Linked DNA regions of Macaca fascicularis. The protein of the gene in region 5 interacts with the protein of the main gene of each other region in a biochemical or structural test. Links are inferred from orthologs where the notes say so. Each region holds a gene or a part of one and is shown on either strand. Other genes may lie near its edges.

Region 1 (3,517 bases), on a different chromosome or scaffold from region 5:
AAGAAAGTCAGATTCCATTGAGGGATATTTTTAAACTGGCAGAATATTACTTGCTTTTTATTACAAATGTATTTTAATTTCTACTTTCTGAAAGCCTTCCTTAGCTAGGAAGATAAGTACAGGCTTCTGCTTTTCATATCCCCAAATTAAATAATTTTATGGTTTCATTTTCAGCAAATTGTTCCACATAAGTAAAGGACGTAATAGGTTTGTTGATTAGGAAGAGAATTTAAGGTTTTCATTTTCAAAGAGAAAGTGAGTAATTACTGGTACTTAGAGTTTGTAGAACTGTATTCTTAACTAATAGTTTGTTTTCTAAACAGGACAAGAATATCAGAGAATTGAGTTTGGTGTCAATGAAGTCATCGAACCCAGTGACACTTTGCCGAGAACCCCCAGCTACAGTATTTCAAGCACACTGAACCCTCAGGCCCCTGAATTTATTCTCGGTTGTACAACTTCCAAAACAACCCCTGATGGTATCACTAAAGAAGCAAACTATGGCTCCATCGACTGCCAGTACCCAGGCTCTGCCCTCGCTTTGGATGGAAGTTCTAATGTGGAGGCGGAAGTTTTGGAAAATGATGGTGTCTCAGGTGGTCTTGGACAAAGGGAGCGTAAAAAGAAGAAAAAGCGGCCACCTGGATATTACAGCTATTTGAAAGATGGCGGTGATGATAGTATTTCCACAGAAGCCCTGGTCAATGGCCATGCCAGTTCAGCAGTCCCGAACAGTGTCAGTGCAGAGGATGCAGAATTTATGGGTGACATGCCCCCGTCAGTTACGCCCAGGACTTGTAACAGCCCCCAGAACTCCACAGACTCTGTCAGTGACACTGTGCCTGACAGTCCTTTCCCCGGAGCACTCAGCAGTGACACCAGGACTGCAGGGCAGCCAGAGGGGAGCCCCGGGGCTGATTTTGGTCAGTCCTGCTTCCCTGCAGAGGCTGGCAGAGACACCCTGTCAAGGACAGCTGGGGCTCAGCCCTGCGTTGGTACCGATACTACTGAAAACCTTGGAGTTGCTAATGGACAAATACTTGAATCCTCGGGTGAGGGCACAGCTACCAATGGGGTGGAGTTGCACACCACGGAAAGCATAGACTTGGACCCAACCAAACCCGAGAATGCATCACCTCCGGCTGACGGCACAGGCTCTGCATCAGGCACCCTTCCTGTCAGCCAGCCCAAGTCCTGGGCCAGTCTCTTTCACGATTCTAAGCCCTCTTCCTCCTCGCCGATGGCCTATGTGGAAACTAAGTATTCCCCTCCCGCCATATCTCCCCTGGTTTCTGAAAAGCAGGTTGAAGTCAAAGAAGGGCTTGTTCCAGTTTCAGAGGATCCCGTAGCCATAAAGATTGCAGGTATAGTTGAAAAGATACAAATCTAGAGTGAAGATGGGAACAGACCTCATCAACTGGTCTTATAGACTGTGGTGTTAGAGTGTTACCCATAACAATGGTAGATTACCTGTGTGTTAATAGCAGTGTCTGAAGAATGCCTATGTCTTAAATGTTCTCTAGAAGTAAGACAATATAGAAACAAATGGGAGGAGAGGGTTGTCAAAACTTTAAGTTAAGTGAAAGATCCATGCCTGTTAGTTCTTTTCTGTTGACAAGTTACATTTCCATTTCTTGCCTTTTGTTCAAGTAATTCTGCTCCACGGTGTGAATGTATAATGGACTTTTTCTGTGATATACCTTTGGTGTGATAATCCTGATTTGTACTCACTGTGTGCTCCTTCCTTTTTATATTTCTTAAGATATAAGAAAGCATTTTGTGAAATAACATGTTTTTGTTTTTATGCCTATTTTGCATTGAGTAAATGGATTTTATTCAGAATTTTGATAAATCAACGTCAGCTCTTGAAAGGAAGAGAATAATGTTAAGAGTTCAGCCCAAAGTTAATATTTTATTTTGAAGTGCTAAGGCTCCAAGGTAGAAACAATTACAATAAAAATGGAAAGCTGCATAATTCACAGGTTGTTTTTAAAAAGTTACAGTAGGAAGTCAGAAATGCAGCACGGTATGAAAGAGGTATGTGTGCTCACACAGCCACATGTTGCGTAACGATGGATGTGTGCTCTGAGATGTGCATGTTAACATCAGAGAGTACTACACAAATACAGATGGTAGAGCCTTCGGCTAGTGGTGCAGCCTATTGCTCCGTGTCCAGCATGTCACTACTGAGTACTGTAGGCCGTTGTAACACAGTGCTAAGTATTTGTGTGCCTGAACACATTTAGACATAGAAAAGATACAGTACAGATAGGGTATAAAAGATGAAAAATGCTTCACCTGTACAGAGCACTCATCATGAATGGAGCTTGCAAGACTGGAGTGACTCTGGGTGAGTGAGTCGGTGATGAGTGCTGAGTGAATGTGAAGGCCTAGGACAGTACTGAACAAAGCCGAGCTTTATAAACACCGTACACTTAGGCTGTACTACGTTGATTTACACATTTTTCCTCAATAAGAAATAAACCTTAGCCTACTGTAACCTTTTTACTGTTTATTTTACTTTTAAATTAAAAATTCTAAACTTTTTGACTCATGAGAACACTTAGCTTGAAACACTGTACAGCTATACAAAAAATATTTTCTTCCTTTTTATTCTTATTCTATAAGCTTTTTTCTGTTAAAATTAGTTTTTAACTTTTTAAACTTAAAACTAAGACACAAACATCAGCCTGGGCCTGAACAGGGTCAGGAGCATCAAGACGTCACTAGGCAACAGGGCATTTTCAGCTCCATTAGAATCTTGTGGGACCATCATCTGTGCAGTCCATCGTTGACCGAAACATTGTTACGCTGCCCATGGCTGTACCTGCCTAAGAAGCAGAAGCTCGGTCATCAGGTTGGATTCTACTAAGCTTGGTAGCCGGATCTTCAGATTCTTACCCTAGCAGCCAAGTTAAAATAAGCTGTTTCGTTTAGGCTCTCTGTAATACTTTCTGATGTGACCTTTTGGAACACTTGACAACCTTCTTTTTTTTTTTTTTTTTTTTTTTTTTTTTTTTTTTTTGAGATGGAGTCTCGCTCTGTCACCCAGGCTGGAGTACAGTGGCCGGATCTCAGCTCACTGCAAGCTCCGCCTCCCGGGTTTACGCCATTCTCCTGCCTCAGCCTCCTGAGTAGCTGGGACTGCAGGTGCCCGCCACCTTGCCCAGCTAGTTTTTTTTGTATTTTTTAGTACAGACCGGGTTTCACTGTGTTAGCCAGGATGGTCTTGATCTCCTGACCTTGTGATCCGCCCGTCTCGGCCTCCCAAAGTGCTGGGATTACAGGCTTGATCCACCGCGCCCGGCCTGACAACCTTCATTACCAGGATGTAGCAGCAAGCTGCCAAATGCACACCCTTCTGTGGAGGGTCAGAATTGTGTAAAAAATAAAACACATTCTTTGGATGGCAGTAGGATGATAGCAAGCAATGTATACATTTTTTTAAGAGTATTTTATTCCTTATACAAAATACGTTATCTCAGGTACTCTTGTTGCTCTGAAGTTCTCTTAAAAT
Region 2 (3,517 bases), on a different chromosome or scaffold from region 5:
AAGCCACCATGCCTGGCCTATTTTTAACCAGTATTATTGTTAACATAATTTGACCTTTTGGAAAAGTGAAGAAGAGGGAAATGCTGTACCTACTTCATTGTGCCAAAGGCTAAGCTATATTTAGAATAGTTAGATATTTTTTGCTACTCCTAAGACAGAGCAGCTCTGTTCACCTTAATTTGAAATTGTTGTTGTAGGTTTCATTTCCCCTCTCCCTATGAACATATTTTCCTAGGACAGTCATTTGACTTTACTATACAACCATTTAAAAATTACAACCTCTAATTCCTTCTTTGCCTAATGGTATGTACATCCAATGCAAGATATCATGGTTTTCCCAAATATCAACTCTTCTCTCTCTCCATTCCACCAGTATTGTACATTCACTTGACTGACGCAGCTCCAAGGGATCACTTGTACACCCTGCATGAATTAACTCCATTGATGTTGTCTGCTCCCATTGTAGCTAATGGCACTGACTCAGCCTTCCATGTGCTTGCTGCTAAGCCAGCCCATACTGCTCTAGCACCCGTAGCAATGCCTGTGCGTGAAACCAACCCTTGGGCCCATGCCCCTGATGCTGCTAACAAGGAAATTGCAGCCACATGTTCGGGTAAGGTGGCCACAGATGGTGTTGAGGATTTCTGGGATCAGATAAGTGACCCTGGTTCTAAAACTCAGCCAGTTAGCTGAGTGGGAACTAGGGAGGAATCCTTTCAGGAAACCTACGTTCCCTCCTGAAAATAAGCTGCTTACATAAGGATGGTGAAGGAGAACAAAAGAGAGACTAATAGTCATTAGGACTGTGGAACCAAACCATCCGTAGAGCTTTTATAAAATACAGATTCCGGCTAGGCGTGGTGACTCATGCCTGTAATCCCAGCAGTTTGGGAGGCCGAGGTGGGTGGATCACGAGGTCAGGAGAGTGAGACCATCCTGGCCAACATGGTGAAACCCTGTCTTTATTTAGCCAGACGTGGTGGCATGCACATATAGTCCAGTCCTAGCTACTTGAGGCTGAGGCAGGAGAATCGCTTGAACCCAGGAGACGGAGGTTGCAGTGAGCCAAGATTGTGCCACTGCACTCCAGCCTGAGCGCCAGAGCAATACTCTGTCTCAAAAAAAGAAAAAAAAAAAGCAGATTCCAGGGCCCCACCTCAGAAAATCCATCACTGGATTTGGTGACGTGCAGACATGCCTGTAGAAAGAGGAGGCCCTGCCTCGTACAATAGGAGGCCTACAAAAAGTGTTACAAAAAGCACTTCATTTTTGCTTTTTTGTACCTTCTAGTTTTTCTGTAAAAGACATCTATTAATTATAATAACCAAAAAAAAAATTTTTTTTTTTTTTTGAGACGGAGTATTGTTCTGTCACCCAGGCTGGAGTGCAGTGGCACAATCTTGGCTCACTGCAACCTCCATCTCTAGGGTTCAAGCAACTCTCCTGCCTCAGCCTCCCAAGTAGCTGGGACTACAGGTACATGTCACCATGCCCAACTCATTTTTGTACTTTTAGCAGAAATGGGGTTTCACCATGTTGGCCAGGCTGGTTTTGAACTGACCTCGTGATCCACCCACCTTGGCCTCCAAAAGTGCTGGGATTATAGGTGTGAGCCACCACACCTGGCCTCAAAAGGTTTTAACATAAGTAATACAGGCAGTTCACCACAAAGACAACATATTTCTGGAAGCCAGGCAGGGGCCAGCAAGATATGGCCAGATTACTGGTTATTTTCTTTTTGCTGTGTGAGAGCAGAAGATGAATTGCCTTGGGCCCTTTAGAGGATGTGCAAGCTAGGTTTTTTTTGTTTGTTCGTTTTCTGAGACAGAGTCTTGCTCTGTCACCAGGCCAGAGTATCTCGGTTCACTGCACCCTCTGCCTCTCAGGTTCAAGCAATTCTCTTGCCTTAGCCTCCTGAGTAGCTGGGACTACAGATACATATCACCACGCCCAGCTAATTTTTATATTTTTAGTAGAGACGGGGTTTCATCATGTTGGCCAGGATAGTCTCGATCTCTTGACCTTAGGTGATCCGCCCACCTCGGCGCGCCTGGGTTTTTTTTTTTTTTTTTTTTTTTTTTTTAAAGACAGAGTTCTCACTGTGTTGCCCAGGCCAGACTGCAGTGGCATAGTCATAGCTCACTGCAGCCTCGAACTCTTGGGCTCAAGTAGTCCTCCTGCCTCAACCTCACAAGTAGCCGGGATGACAGGTGCGAGCCACCACAACCAGCTAGTTTCTGTATTGTGGATGAGCCATACCAACAGGGAGGGGTTTCTGACATCAGTCAGCTGCCTTGGTTTAATGCATTTGAGCTATATCTAGACAGTGCTTCAGTGTGGCTGACACAGCAGCATGGTCTTGACAAGTTTTCTTCATCCTACCACAAAATCCCAGTTGGTAATAGACTTTCCTCCTACCTATCAAAACCACAAAATGTCCCACTGGGGTGACATGTTGTACATGTTAGGATCATTCAAATAAGGTGAGGAAAGATGCACCTAACGGATTCTTTTGTCTCTCATCTTGTTGGTTCCAGGGACCGAGTGGGGTCAATCTTCTGGTGCTGCCTCTCCAGGTCTCTTCCAGGCCGGTCATAGACGTACTCCCTCTGAGGCCGACCGATGGTTAGAAGAGGTGTCTAAGAGCATCCGGGCTCAGCAGCCCCAGGCATCAGCTGCTCCTCTGCAGCCAGTTCTCCAGCCTCCTCCACCCACTGCCATCTCCCAGCCAGCACCACCTTTCCAAGGGAATGCATTCCTCACCTCTCAGCCTGTGCCAGTGGGTGTAGTCCCAGCCCTGCAGCCAGCCTTTGTCCCTGCCCAGTCTTATCCTGTGGCCAATGGAATGCCCTATCCAGCCCCTAATGTGCCTGTGGTGGGCATCACTCCCTCCCAGATGGTGGCCAACGTATTTGGCACTGCAGGCCACCCTCAGGCTGCCCACCCCCATCAGTCACCCAGCCTGGTCAGGCAGCAGACATTCCCTCATTACGAGGCAAGCAGTGCTACCACCAGTCCCTTCTTTAAGCCTCCTGCTCAGCACCTCAACGGTTCTGCAGCTTTCAATGGTATAGATGATGGCAGGTTGGCCTCAGCAGACAAGCATACAGAGGTTCCTACAGGCACCTGCCCGGTGGATCCTTTTGAAGCCCAGTGGGCTGCATTAGAAAACAAGTCCAAGCAGCGTACTAATCCCTCCCCTACCAACCCTTTCTCCAGTGACTTACAGAAGACGTTTGAAATTGAACTTTAAGCAATCCCTATGGCTGTGTATCTTGTCCATACCAGACAGGGAGCAGGGGGTAGAGGTCAAAGGAGCAAAACAGACTTTGTCTCCTGATTAGTACTCTTTTCACTAATCCCAAAGGTCCCAAGGAACAAGTCCAGGCCCAGAGTACTGTGAGGGGTGATTTTGAAAGATGTGGGAAAAAGCATTCCTAGAGAAAAGCTGCCTTGCAATTAGACTAAAGAAGTCAAGGAAATGTTGCTTTCTGTACTCCTTCTTCCCTCACCCCCT
Region 3 (3,517 bases), on a different chromosome or scaffold from region 5:
AGCCAGCTGTTTCATGTCTCCTGAAGGAAATGAAGAAGGAACACACTTGTTCTCACCTGCCATAGACACTCTGGAGGGACTGATCAATGCCACCTGGCTTCCTCCAACTCCCAGTGGAAGCAACCAAGCTACTCTACTTGAAGGTCAAAGCCCAGCTGAGTAGCAGGCAGTATATATTTATAGTAGATTAAAACTGGATATTCTCCTTATCTACCTCCAGCATCTTTTGGTTCTGAAATAAGAAATGTACTTTTCACAGTAGACCCTGGATAATGCTGGTTCCTCCCTTTAAATGATACTGTGGAGATAATAATGGTTATGAGAATCTGGTTCTATCACAACCCACCTTGTGCTAGTAAATCATCAGATGTAAACTCTGGTTCATATGGTTTCCCATTTAATATGTCAAATACCTGTTGGCAAGAAAAACACCAGAAATTGTTACACATCAAAGGGACCACTAGGGCAGTCTGTTTCTTTATGATAAAGAACTCAGCATGTCCTCCTTAGGAGGGTCTGGTACCCTAATGATGGAGGAATGGCAAGAGGAGTCAGGACCACCCTCCAAGAATATGGTACCCTTTGGGGGAAGAACAAGCTGTGGGAGCTCTGGTGCTGGGAAGTTGTGCTTTGTACAAACTCTCTGAGCTGGGTCAGAATACCCAACCAAACTGCAGAGAGTCAGAGCTATAGCCTTTTGGAAGGAACAGGCAGTCCAGGCCACCATGTCAATCATCTCCTGCTCAGAGACCTAAGGCTAGGGAAGAGCTTACTCAGAGCTGTGAAGCTGTGTCCCCTCTTCCATAGTAACAAGCTTGTGAGAATTAACTGTATAAGCTTGCTGAAATGTCTAGATGTTCACAAGGCTTGGTGTTAACCCTCTGGCAATACTGACGTTTTAACTGAGGTCGAGAAATGTCTTAGGCTAAAAGAAAAAGAATTCCAAAGCTGCAGAAGCACTTGTGGTGTTCTCTGCAGTCACTCTGTTGCAGGCTGACCTGGGTAAGGCGAGCGTGGGGTCACTGAGTGCATCATCTTTTTGTGTTCTGTGGCAAGGCCTTCTGGGGAAATGAGGTGCTAACATAAAGGGAGAACCATGTAGTCTCTGCCAACACCAGTGAGCTGGACACAAACAGGCTGTGGGAGGCAGATGAGCAGTTATAGAAGTGGAGCAGCTCTCGCCTCTAGAAGAACTGATCTTGTCTTGCTGGAGATCTTGCACACTGCCCACCTCCTCCCTCTGGCTTTTCTTCCCAGGGCCAAACGACCTAATAACTGCTTTATACCTTCAGATCTCAGCCCTGTGGAGTTTTGAGGAAGGTTTTAAATCTATTTACTCTGTTTTATATTTATTGAAATTCTAAGAAGAATTCTTAGTTTATTTTTACATCCCGAAATCACTTAGCTAAGTTCTAAGCAAACAGTAACATTTATCCTAGCTTCAGAAATTGAGATGGTAACAGTTCTGGTGTGAATTCAGAATGGGTAACTTTTATGTGAATTTTGTGTTTTTCTTCTAACCTTTTCTCACATCTCAACTCTGATCTGATTAGGCATACACTTTCGTACTTAGAACTCAGCTGACCTAGATCTTTCATGGATAGGGTTTTTCAAGATAAAAATGGTCTCTGACAAACAGACTTTCTTAAAAATAAAAGGCATGTTCTTTGGGAAATAAAGCACCGGGAAGACCATCTGTTCTTACATTCCTGAACCTCTGACTCCCTCAGGGGCAGCCATCAGACAGATGGAGCGGCACTCACCTGCCAGCTGGCAGCCATATCTAGAGGCGTGGTTCCAGGCACAACTCCTTCATCCTCTCCTGCATTTTCCCAAGAGTCATCCAGGTCATAGAGAGGCTCAAAGTTCTCCACCAGGGGATCTGCTCCTGCAAAGTTAGGTTACACAGCATTAGGTAAACCCACATCTTGTCAACTTTCAACTGCCTGCAAAGGTCAGATTCCCAAAGGCAAAGCACTGTAGCAGCTTGAGGCAATCTCTTGGATAATTTTTAATGCATAAAACGTTTCCACTGGAATATCCAGAGAAATTGTTTTAAAATTGTAATTTGCTTTGATTGTTAAAGTGTCTTATGACACCTTAAATAGCCAAAGATACTATCGGAAAAAAAAAAGACTTCAAATACTCTGACTTCACATTTAACTCTACAGGATATTTCTCAATTGAATGATGCATCTTTAATCTGAGGGCTGATGGACAGCATGATTACAGCGACTAGGGTGCACCCTCAGATTAGGGTCCTCACTGTTCAAATTTATGCATGACAATGTATTTCTCAGCCCCTTTTCCTGGACACTCAAAATAGCAAAGATGCTTGATATCTAGTGATACCATGGCCAGTTTCATTGCTGGGTACAGCAGTGCCAGGGTTCTGATCTTTAAATAAACAAACCTGCTAGGATGTATAATTACTGAAATATTTTGGGAAATCTAGTCTGCTCTTTAGCATCCAGCAAAAACAAAAACAACAAACAAATAAATGAAACACCAAAGTAACTCAAAGACTAGAGCTAGAGTTACTTCTCAGAGGCTTAGATTATTTTTATGAGTGTTTAGCTTGATGTCTAATGATGCCATTTTCGAGGGAGGAACTTGTTTTTATCTTGCTGGGAGAACATCAGATGTGTCAATATCAATAATAGAAGAGTACTTAATGGGAAGCAAAGGAGGATCTTCATGCTATTTCTTGATTTTACTCTCCCAGTTCTGGCCTAATCTATGAGGCAATAAATGTAATCCCACCAAAAAAACCATGGAGAAATTAAGATGAACAATTTATAGGACCAAAGACTGGAGGGATGAGCTATCCCTTAACTGACTGTTTTTTTTTTTTTTTTTTTGGTGAGTGCAGTGGCGCAGTCTCGGCTCACCGCAACCTCTACCTCCAGGGCTCAAGTGATTCTCCTGCCTCAGCCTTCCAAGTAGCTGGGATTACAGGTGCCTGCCACCACGCCTGGCTAATTTTTATATTTTTAGTAGAGATGGGGTTTCACCATGTTGGCCAGATGAGTCTCGAACTCCCAACCTCAGGTGATCCACCCACCTCAGCCTCCCAAAGTGCTGGGATTACAGGTGTGAGCCTCCACACTCAGCCTTAACTGACCTTTTCCATGACATTAAGATTCGGGCTTGGTTTTCATCTGAGTTTCTTCATTTATATATCAGAGAAACTGTTACTTGCTATTCCTTTCATGGGATTCTGAGAATTCAATATAAAGCATTTTTAAAAGGGTTATAGTTTCTTTTTCTTTTCTTTTCATTTATGTATTTTTTTTGAGACAGGGTCTCATTCTATAGCTTAGGTTAGAATGCAGTGGTGAAACTGTAGCTCACTGTGCCCTTGAACTCCCAGGCTCAAGCGATACTACTACCTCAGCCTCCCAAGTAGCTGGGACTACAGGCGGGTGACACCATGCCTAGCTACTTTAAAAATTTTTTAATAGATATGAGGTCTTACAATGTTGCCCAGGTTGGTCTCAAACTCCTAGTGCAAGTG
Region 4 (3,517 bases), on a different chromosome or scaffold from region 5:
ACCACAGCTGTGTGTCTGGAAGAGACCGGGTGCGCTTTCATGTTTGTGCTACCTGGGGTCAACATGGGGTTGAAATCTGCAGGCATCTCAGAAGCATGGGCCTGACCTGTGTTTTCTGCCTTCAAACCCATCTGACATTTTGTGGATTATTGATGGGAATGAAATAGCCTGTTTCAGCTCTCCTCTTTTCCTCAATCCAATTTTGTTGTTGTTGTTTTGAGACAGAGTCTTGGTCTGTCACCCAGGCTGTAGTGCGTGGCAAGATCTTGGCTCACTGCAACCTCCACTTCCTAGGTTCAAGCCATTCTCCTGCCTCAGCCTCTCAAGTAGCTGGGATTACAGGTGCCTGCCACCACACCCGGCTAATTTTTGTGTTTTTAGTAGAGACGGGGTTTCACCATGTTGGCCAGGCTGGCCTTGTACACCTGACCTCGTGATCCGCTGGCCTCAGCCTCCCACAGTGTTGGGATTACAGGCGTGAGCCGCCGTGCCCGGCCCCAATTTTTATTATATAGTTGCTAGTAGAGAGGAAGAAGAAAAAAGCACTGAGTTACGGCCAATCTCTGAACAATGACTCTCCTACCCACAAAACCTATTTCAGTTAATGGTGTTGCCATGTGTCTATTGCTTAAGCCAGGAGGCCTAGACAGCAGTTCCCTGAGCACAGGGGTGCTTTCTGTTCCATCCTCTGCTCTCTCTCTCCAGCACAGCACCTGCCACAGAGTGGGTACTCAGTGAAGATCTGGTAATTTCCTGTGACTTCTCCCTCCCTTGGCCATCTTGTCATTTCATAGTATAAATCGTGTGACATAAGATGGTATATTGTCTGGTGAGATGTTGTCACACAGTCCTGCGCCTCCACCCCCCATTCCCACATAGTCTGCCCCCCCTCATCTGCATGACTGAACAGCCTCTTCCCAGCATGGTCTCAGCCGCACTCTCAGTCCAGCCACTCTTGGGCTTTACAGCGCCATTCTTTTTTTTTCTGTTTGTTTGGAGACAGAGTCTTGCTTTCGCCCAGGCTGGAGTGCAGAGGCGTGATCTCGGCTCATTGCAGCCTCCGCCTCCGAGGTTCAAGCAGTTCTCCTGCCCCAGCCTCCCGAGTAGCTGGGGGCGTGCGCCGCCACACCCAGCTAATTTTTGTATTTTTAGTGGAGGCAGGGTTTCACCATGTTTGGGGCAGTATGGTCTTGATCTCCTGACCTCGTGATTCTCCTGTCTCGGCCTCCCAAAGTACTGGGATTACAGGCATGAGCCACCGTGCCCAGCCACAACCCCGTTATTCATACGCCATCCACAGCTCTTCCCTATCTGGCCGGAACTAGCTCTTCCGTTTTATATGTAATCAGCTGGCCACTATCTCCATACCCTGGCCACGGCCAGCCTCTGAAAGTTTCCCACCCAGATGCCTTTTTCTGATTCTGCATTTGTACACACTTGCCTGGAATGCTCTTTTTCCCCAAACTGTTAAATTGCTAAATTTATGTGATTGTAAACCCAGTGGATTCATCACCGTCTCTCTGAAGCCTTCCCCAAGGCTTCCCAGATGCCAGGGCTTCTGGCCTGCACCCTGCAGCCTGCTGGCCAGGTGTGCCCCATCACACCCCATCATGCCATGTGCTAACTTTGCCTCCCAGAGGTGGATCTTGCGTTGGGCCCACCTCAGAGTCCCCAGTGCCCACCACAGGGTCCCCACAGAGCAGAAATTTGGTGGGTGCTTGAAAGTTAAATGAAGCAGGTTACTGGTTTTCTCTCCCCTGGGGCTTTGCCCTTCCTCTGTGCCTTTCTGAACCCCATCATTGTTTCAGAGACCAGTCCTCCATTCCACCTGTGGGAGGCTTTCTGCCCTGTGGTCCCCAGGGCCTTCTTCCCAGTGTGCTGTGAACATGAGACTTCTGGTGCTGCGGCTCAGGTCTCAGAGGGGCCCCGTGGTGGTCCACTCCTGACTGCCAGACTCTTCTCTGTCTTGTAGGGTCCTCTGCTGCCGTGCCCGGCATGAACACCTTGGGTCCCTCCAACTCCAGCTGTCCTCGAGTGTTCCCTCAGGCTGGGAATCTGATGCAGATGGGCCCTGGACATGCTTCAGTTTCCTCTCTCCCTGCAAACTCAGGCCAACAGGACCGGGGTGTGGCTCAGTTCCCTGGCTCCCAAAACATGCCTCAGAGCAGCCTCTATGGCATGGCTTCTGGCATAACCCAGATAGTTGCCCAGCCCCCGCCACAGGCCACCAATGGACATGCCCACATTCCACGGCAGACCGGCCAGAACGCCTCCGTCTCAGCTGCCTATGGGCAGAACTCTCTGGGAAGCTCTGGCCTCTCCCAGCAGCACAATAAGGGGACCCTGAACCCTGGCTTAACAAAGCCGCCGGTCCCAAGGGTGTCACCAGCCATGGGAGGCCAGAATTCCTCCTGGCAGCATCAGGGAATGCCGACCCTGAGTGGCCAGACCCCGGGGAACAGCAACGTGAGTCCCTTCACTGCAGCCTCCAGTTTCCACATGCAGCAGCAGGCCCACCTGAAAATGTCTAGCCCGCAGTTCTCCCAGGCAGTGCCCAACAGGCCCATGGCTCCCATGAGCTCAGCAGCTGCAGTGGGGTCCTTGCTACCCCCAGTGAGTGCACAGCAGAGGACCAGCGCCCCTGCCCCAGCACCACCCCCAACGGCCCCTCAGCAGGGCTTGCCTGGCCTGAGTCCAGCAGGGCCTGAGCTGGGGGCCTTCAGCCAGAGCCCTGCCTCACAGATGGGCAGTCGGGCAGGGCTGCACTGTACCCAGGCCTACCCTGTGCGGACCGCGGGCCAGGAGCTGCCTTTTGCCTACAGCGGGCAGCCAGGTGGCAGTGGGCTCTCTAGTGTGGCTGGACACACCGACCTGATCGACTCCCTGCTGAAGAACAGGACTTCAGAGGAGTGGATGAATGATTTGGACGACCTGTTAGGGTCTCAGTAATGGAAGGATGTGTAGTGTTTTTAGTGTTCATTCATCCTATATTTTTCTTCTCAGATTCAAAGAAAGAGCAACTACTTTGGACCAAAAGCCCATGGCCTGGGGAGCTGGGCAGTAGAGCCCAAGCTCCAGGTGAGGCCTGGCCCTGGGCAGGGTCCGTGGCTGCGCCCCTCAGGCCAGCACTTGCGGTCCATCGGGCTGGCCCCAGCCCATCTGCTGGCATCAGTACCTGGTGTTGGGACAGCAGGATAGGGTTCTAAAGGTGGTTTTCTATCCAAATGACCAAAAAACCAACAGTAACAACAGTGAAACCCCACGATATCAGGCTTATAAAAATCTGTGCCATCATGGTGATTTTATCCAAGATTTCTCCACTTACCCCAGTGTTAGGGACAAGTTTTTGTTGAAACTTTATATAGCAGAATTATTTGCAATTTGTAGCATAGAAAAGATTTTTAAATTTTTTTACAAAAGGTTTTTAAACAGATTAGGATAGGTGATGGTTTAAATCAATTAAGTGGCATTGGAAACCTAGGGTTTCCTTTTGATTAAGAGCCTTTTTTGTTTCTGC
Region 5 (3,517 bases):
CTGTCAGATCAGACCTGGCTTCCCGCCGCCCCAGGCTGCCTCGCCACGTCCTGACTGTGGCGTCATGGGCTGCGGTATCCCTGGGGCAGCGTCCCCGGCTGGTGGGTGGGGGAGGAGGAAGCCTCGGGCCCCAGCCCCTGTCTGGTTATCCCCCCAGCTCCATCGTCTACCTGGAGATTGACAACCGGCAGTGTGTGCAGGCCTCCTCGCAGTGCTTCCAGAGCGCCACCGACGTGGCCGCCTTCCTGGGGGCGCTCGCCTCGCTGGGCAGCCTCAACATCCCCTACAAGATCGAGGCCGTGCAGAGTGAGTGGCTCCTTCTCTGTTCCCCAGCCCAGCATCGCCGGGAACAGGCTCTACCTCCAGGGGATGCCATCCCCTTGTGCCCCAGACACGCTGGTTGGTTGTGCCAGTTGCCACCCACGGGTGTGCACGTCACCATCCGAGTTGGGGTAGGGCTTTTCTGGAATTTTCTGAATGGCACTCCCTCCCCACCTGTGGCGGTGACAGCTGCCGGTGGAGCCACCCGGGAACGAGTCCAGTCACGGGAAAATGGGTGCCTGCTTCTCTCCCCACCCCTTCCCCCTGAATTTTCTTTGTTGGGTATTATTTCAAAATCATTACGGCTTTTTTTAAAGAAAAAAAAGAGAGAGAGAGAAGAATTGATCGGTGTCATGTGAAGTGTTGAAGTTTGTATCTTGAAAATCCCTCTAAATCCTTTGTCTTAACAGCTCAATGCAAGTGCAGCGATTTGAAGTTGACTAATCCTCCTCCCTTAAAGGAGAAAAAAGTAAAAGCCGTCTCCAGATAGAGTCGGCTGGTGCAGGAGAGAATTTAGCGATAGTTTGCAATTCTGATTAATCGCGTAGAAAATGACCTTATTTTGGGGGGCGGGATGGAGGAGAGTGGGTGAGGAGGCGCCTGGCCGCGGAGCCAGTCCGCTGCCCCCCGGCCACCAGCCTGCTGCGTAGCCGCCGCCTGATGTCCCAGCGCCTGCCCCTGGCCCCTGTGCCCGCAGGTGAGACCGTGGAGCCGCCCCCGCCGGCGCAGCTGCATTTCATGTACGTGGCGGCGGCCGCCTTTGTGCTCCTGTTCTTCGTGGGCTGCGGGGTGCTGCTGTCCCGCAAGCGCCGGCGGCAGCATGGCCAACTCTGGTTCCCTGAGGGCTTCAAGGTGTCCGAGGCCAGCAAGAAGAAGCGGCGGGAGCCCCTCGGCGAGGACTCTGTGGGCCTGAAGTGAGCGGACGCTGCCCCTGCTTCTGGGGCCCCGGGGGGAGGTGGGACCTGGCCAAGCATCCTCATGGGGGGTCTGCCCCTCCTGATGCAGGGCCCACTTCCCACGCGAGGCCTGGGCTAGGGGCCTCTGGGGGCTTCCTAGGGAGCTTTCTCAGCCTCACTTCTCGAACCCTCACCCCCAGGCCCCTGAAGAACGCCTCAGATGGTGCCCTCATGGACGACAACCAGAATGAGTGGGGGGACGAGGACCTGGAGACCAAGAAGTTCCGGGTGAGTCGCAAGGCTCCCGGGCTCCCGGGCTCCTGGGCACCTGCCACCGGGCTGCCCTGACACACCTCTGCTCACTCCTCCTACGTAGTTCGAGGAGCCCGTGGTTCTGCCTGACCTGGACGACCAGACAGACCACCGGCAGTGGACTCAGCAGCACCTGGATGCCGCTGACCTGCGCATGTCTGCCATGGCCCCCACGCCGCCCCAGGGTGAGGTTGACGCCGACTGCATGGACGTCAATGTCCGCGGGCCTGGTAAGGGTGCCAGCAGCCAGGGCTTCCCTAGCTCCGTGGCCCACCTGCCTCTCTCCCCTAAGCCCCGAGGCTGGGGTACGGTTGATACTCTGGAAACTTAGAGTTGGGGGTGAGAGCTTTCATCCTTGGGGTATTTCCCGTTCAGAGTGGATGGGGGGTCCTGGAGTCCTCCTGTTCTTCCATCAACCCTCTCCTGGGGCGATGCCGCACGGTCACTATGTCCCTGTAAATTACTCTCTTCTGAAACCTCTTTCTTGAGATATGAAAAGCGTAGATTTTCTTTTTTTTTTTTTCTTTTTTTGAGACAGAGTCTTGCTCTGTCACCCAGGCTAGAGTGCAGCGGCACGATCTCAGCTCCCCGCAGCCTCCACCTCTTGGATTCAAGCAATTCTCCTGCCTCAGCCTCCCAAGTAGCTGGGATTACAGGCACCCACCACCACGCCCAGCTACTTTTTGTATTTTTAGTAGAGACGGAGTTTCACCACGTTGGCCAGGCTGGTCTCGAACTCCTGATCTCAGGGGATCCGCCTGCCTCAGCCTCCCACAGTGCTGCAGCTATAGCGTGAGCCACTGTGCCCATGAGCCGCTGCACCCAGCCAAAGCGTTGATTTTCTAACTGCATGTTTCTGGCGTCATCTTTTTCCTGGGTGGATTTTGGGTGCCTGGTCTTGGGCAGGTCAGGAAGCAGCTGCCCGTCAGGAGTTGACTGCTGGACTCAGCTCTGTCCACTGAGCAGCCCAGGCGGACTTCAGCTGCCCCTTGGTGGCTGCGTGGTGCATCTACACTGTGGCCCATTGAGCTCGGGGCTGCTGCCCCCCTCCCCCTGGGCTGCAGCTGGGGACCAGCCCTCCAGACTGAGCACCCGTCTCTGCCCCTGCAGACGGCTTCACCCCCCTCATGATCGCCTCCTGCAGTGGGGGCGGCCTGGAGACGGGCAACAGCGAGGAGGAGGAGGACGCGCCGGCCGTCATCTCCGACTTCATCTACCAGGGCGCCAGCCTGCACAACCAGACCGACCGCACGGGCGAGACTGCCTTGCACCTGGCTGCCCGCTACTCACGCTCTGATGCCGCCAAGCGCCTGCTGGAGGCCAGCGCAGACGCCAACATCCAGGACAACATGGGCCGCACCCCGCTGCACGCAGCTGTGTCTGCCGACGCACAAGGTGTCTTCCAGGTAGGCAGCAGCTGCCTGTGTGCCCACCTGCCCTCCTCAGGGCACCGGGTGGTCCGGGACAGTGGCCAGGCTTACGTAGCCATGGGAGCCTGACCCCGAGCACAGCTGAGTCCGGGACAGCTGGTGCCTCCACCCAGGACCTTTGCAGTCAGCGAGGTGCGACGGGAGGGGGCGGGGTCGGGCGCATCTGTGTTCTCCAGGGAAGCCAGGCAGAGGCGGGTCTGGCAGGAGGCCTGGGGGACCTGCTGAGTGAGGCAGCGCCTGCCCACCCCCCGCAAGACAGGCTCCATCAGGGTTGTGGGCCTTGCTCAAGGTCCAGGTCCCACCGCTGCAGCCCCTCGCGGCCCCACCCCTCCCTCAACCCTGGCTGCCGGCGTAGCCTGTGGCAGTGAGAAGAAGGGTTTAGAGGCTGCCGCTTGGTGCCTGCGGACCTAGGGCTCAGCTTGCCGGTGAGCTCGTGGCAAGAAATGGATTTAGGGATTTGGATGCCTGGGTCTCCGGGGAACGTCCCTGGCAGGGGCTGCCTTTGCAGTCACCCCTGCTGTGAGTCCCCAGGCTCCAGGCGGCCCTAGAGCAGGTTCA

Evidence for each region. The genes of interacting proteins can lie anywhere in the genome.
Region 1: the proteins of NOTCH1 (region 5) and USP10 form a complex in vitro, tested with the Homo sapiens proteins (2 studies listed by BioGRID, with this or other methods). The link is inferred for Macaca fascicularis from reciprocal best matches to the Homo sapiens genes NOTCH1 and USP10.
Region 2: the proteins of NOTCH1 (region 5) and NUMB form a complex in vitro, tested with the Homo sapiens proteins (2 studies listed by BioGRID). The link is inferred for Macaca fascicularis from reciprocal best matches to the Homo sapiens genes NOTCH1 and NUMB.
Region 3: the proteins of NOTCH1 (region 5) and NFKB1 form a complex in vitro, tested with the Homo sapiens proteins (2 studies listed by BioGRID). The link is inferred for Macaca fascicularis from reciprocal best matches to the Homo sapiens genes NOTCH1 and NFKB1.
Region 4: the proteins of NOTCH1 (region 5) and MAML1 form a complex in vitro, tested with the Homo sapiens proteins (2 studies listed by BioGRID). The link is inferred for Macaca fascicularis from reciprocal best matches to the Homo sapiens genes NOTCH1 and MAML1.

Annotation. Positions count from the first base shown.
Region 1 is NC_088394.1:80,622,708-80,626,224, forward strand, and holds part of USP10 (ubiquitin carboxyl-terminal hydrolase 10), read left to right. Parts: intron 1-323; coding exon 324-1,364; intron 1,365-3,517. UniProt on the Homo sapiens protein: Hydrolase that can remove conjugated ubiquitin from target proteins such as p53/TP53, RPS2/us5, RPS3/us3, RPS10/eS10, BECN1, SNX3 and CFTR.
Region 2 is NC_088381.1:141,172,701-141,176,217, reverse strand, and holds part of NUMB (protein numb homolog), read left to right. Parts: intron 1-466; coding exon 467-613; intron 614-2,537; coding exon 2,538-3,253; 3' UTR 3,254-3,517. UniProt on the Homo sapiens protein: Regulates clathrin-mediated receptor endocytosis. Plays a role in the process of neurogenesis.
Region 3 is NC_088379.1:108,284,490-108,288,006, reverse strand, and holds part of NFKB1 (nuclear factor NF-kappa-B p105 subunit), read right to left. Parts: intron 1,889-3,517; coding exon 1,764-1,888; intron 414-1,763; coding exon 347-413; intron 21-346; coding exon 1-20.
Region 4 is NC_088380.1:186,656,382-186,659,898, forward strand, and holds part of MAML1 (mastermind-like protein 1), read left to right. Parts: intron 1-1,972; coding exon 1,973-2,949; 3' UTR 2,950-3,517. UniProt on the Homo sapiens protein: Acts as a transcriptional coactivator for NOTCH proteins. Has been shown to amplify NOTCH-induced transcription of HES1. Enhances phosphorylation and proteolytic turnover of the NOTCH intracellular domain in the nucleus through interaction with CDK8.
Region 5 is NC_088389.1:2,860,907-2,864,423, forward strand, and holds part of NOTCH1 (neurogenic locus notch homolog protein 1), read left to right. Parts: intron 1-157; coding exon 158-306; intron 307-1,018; coding exon 1,019-1,235; intron 1,236-1,417; coding exon 1,418-1,505; intron 1,506-1,593; coding exon 1,594-1,759; intron 1,760-2,639; coding exon 2,640-2,935; intron 2,936-3,517. UniProt on the Homo sapiens protein: Functions as a receptor for membrane-bound ligands Jagged-1 (JAG1), Jagged-2 (JAG2) and Delta-1 (DLL1) to regulate cell-fate determination.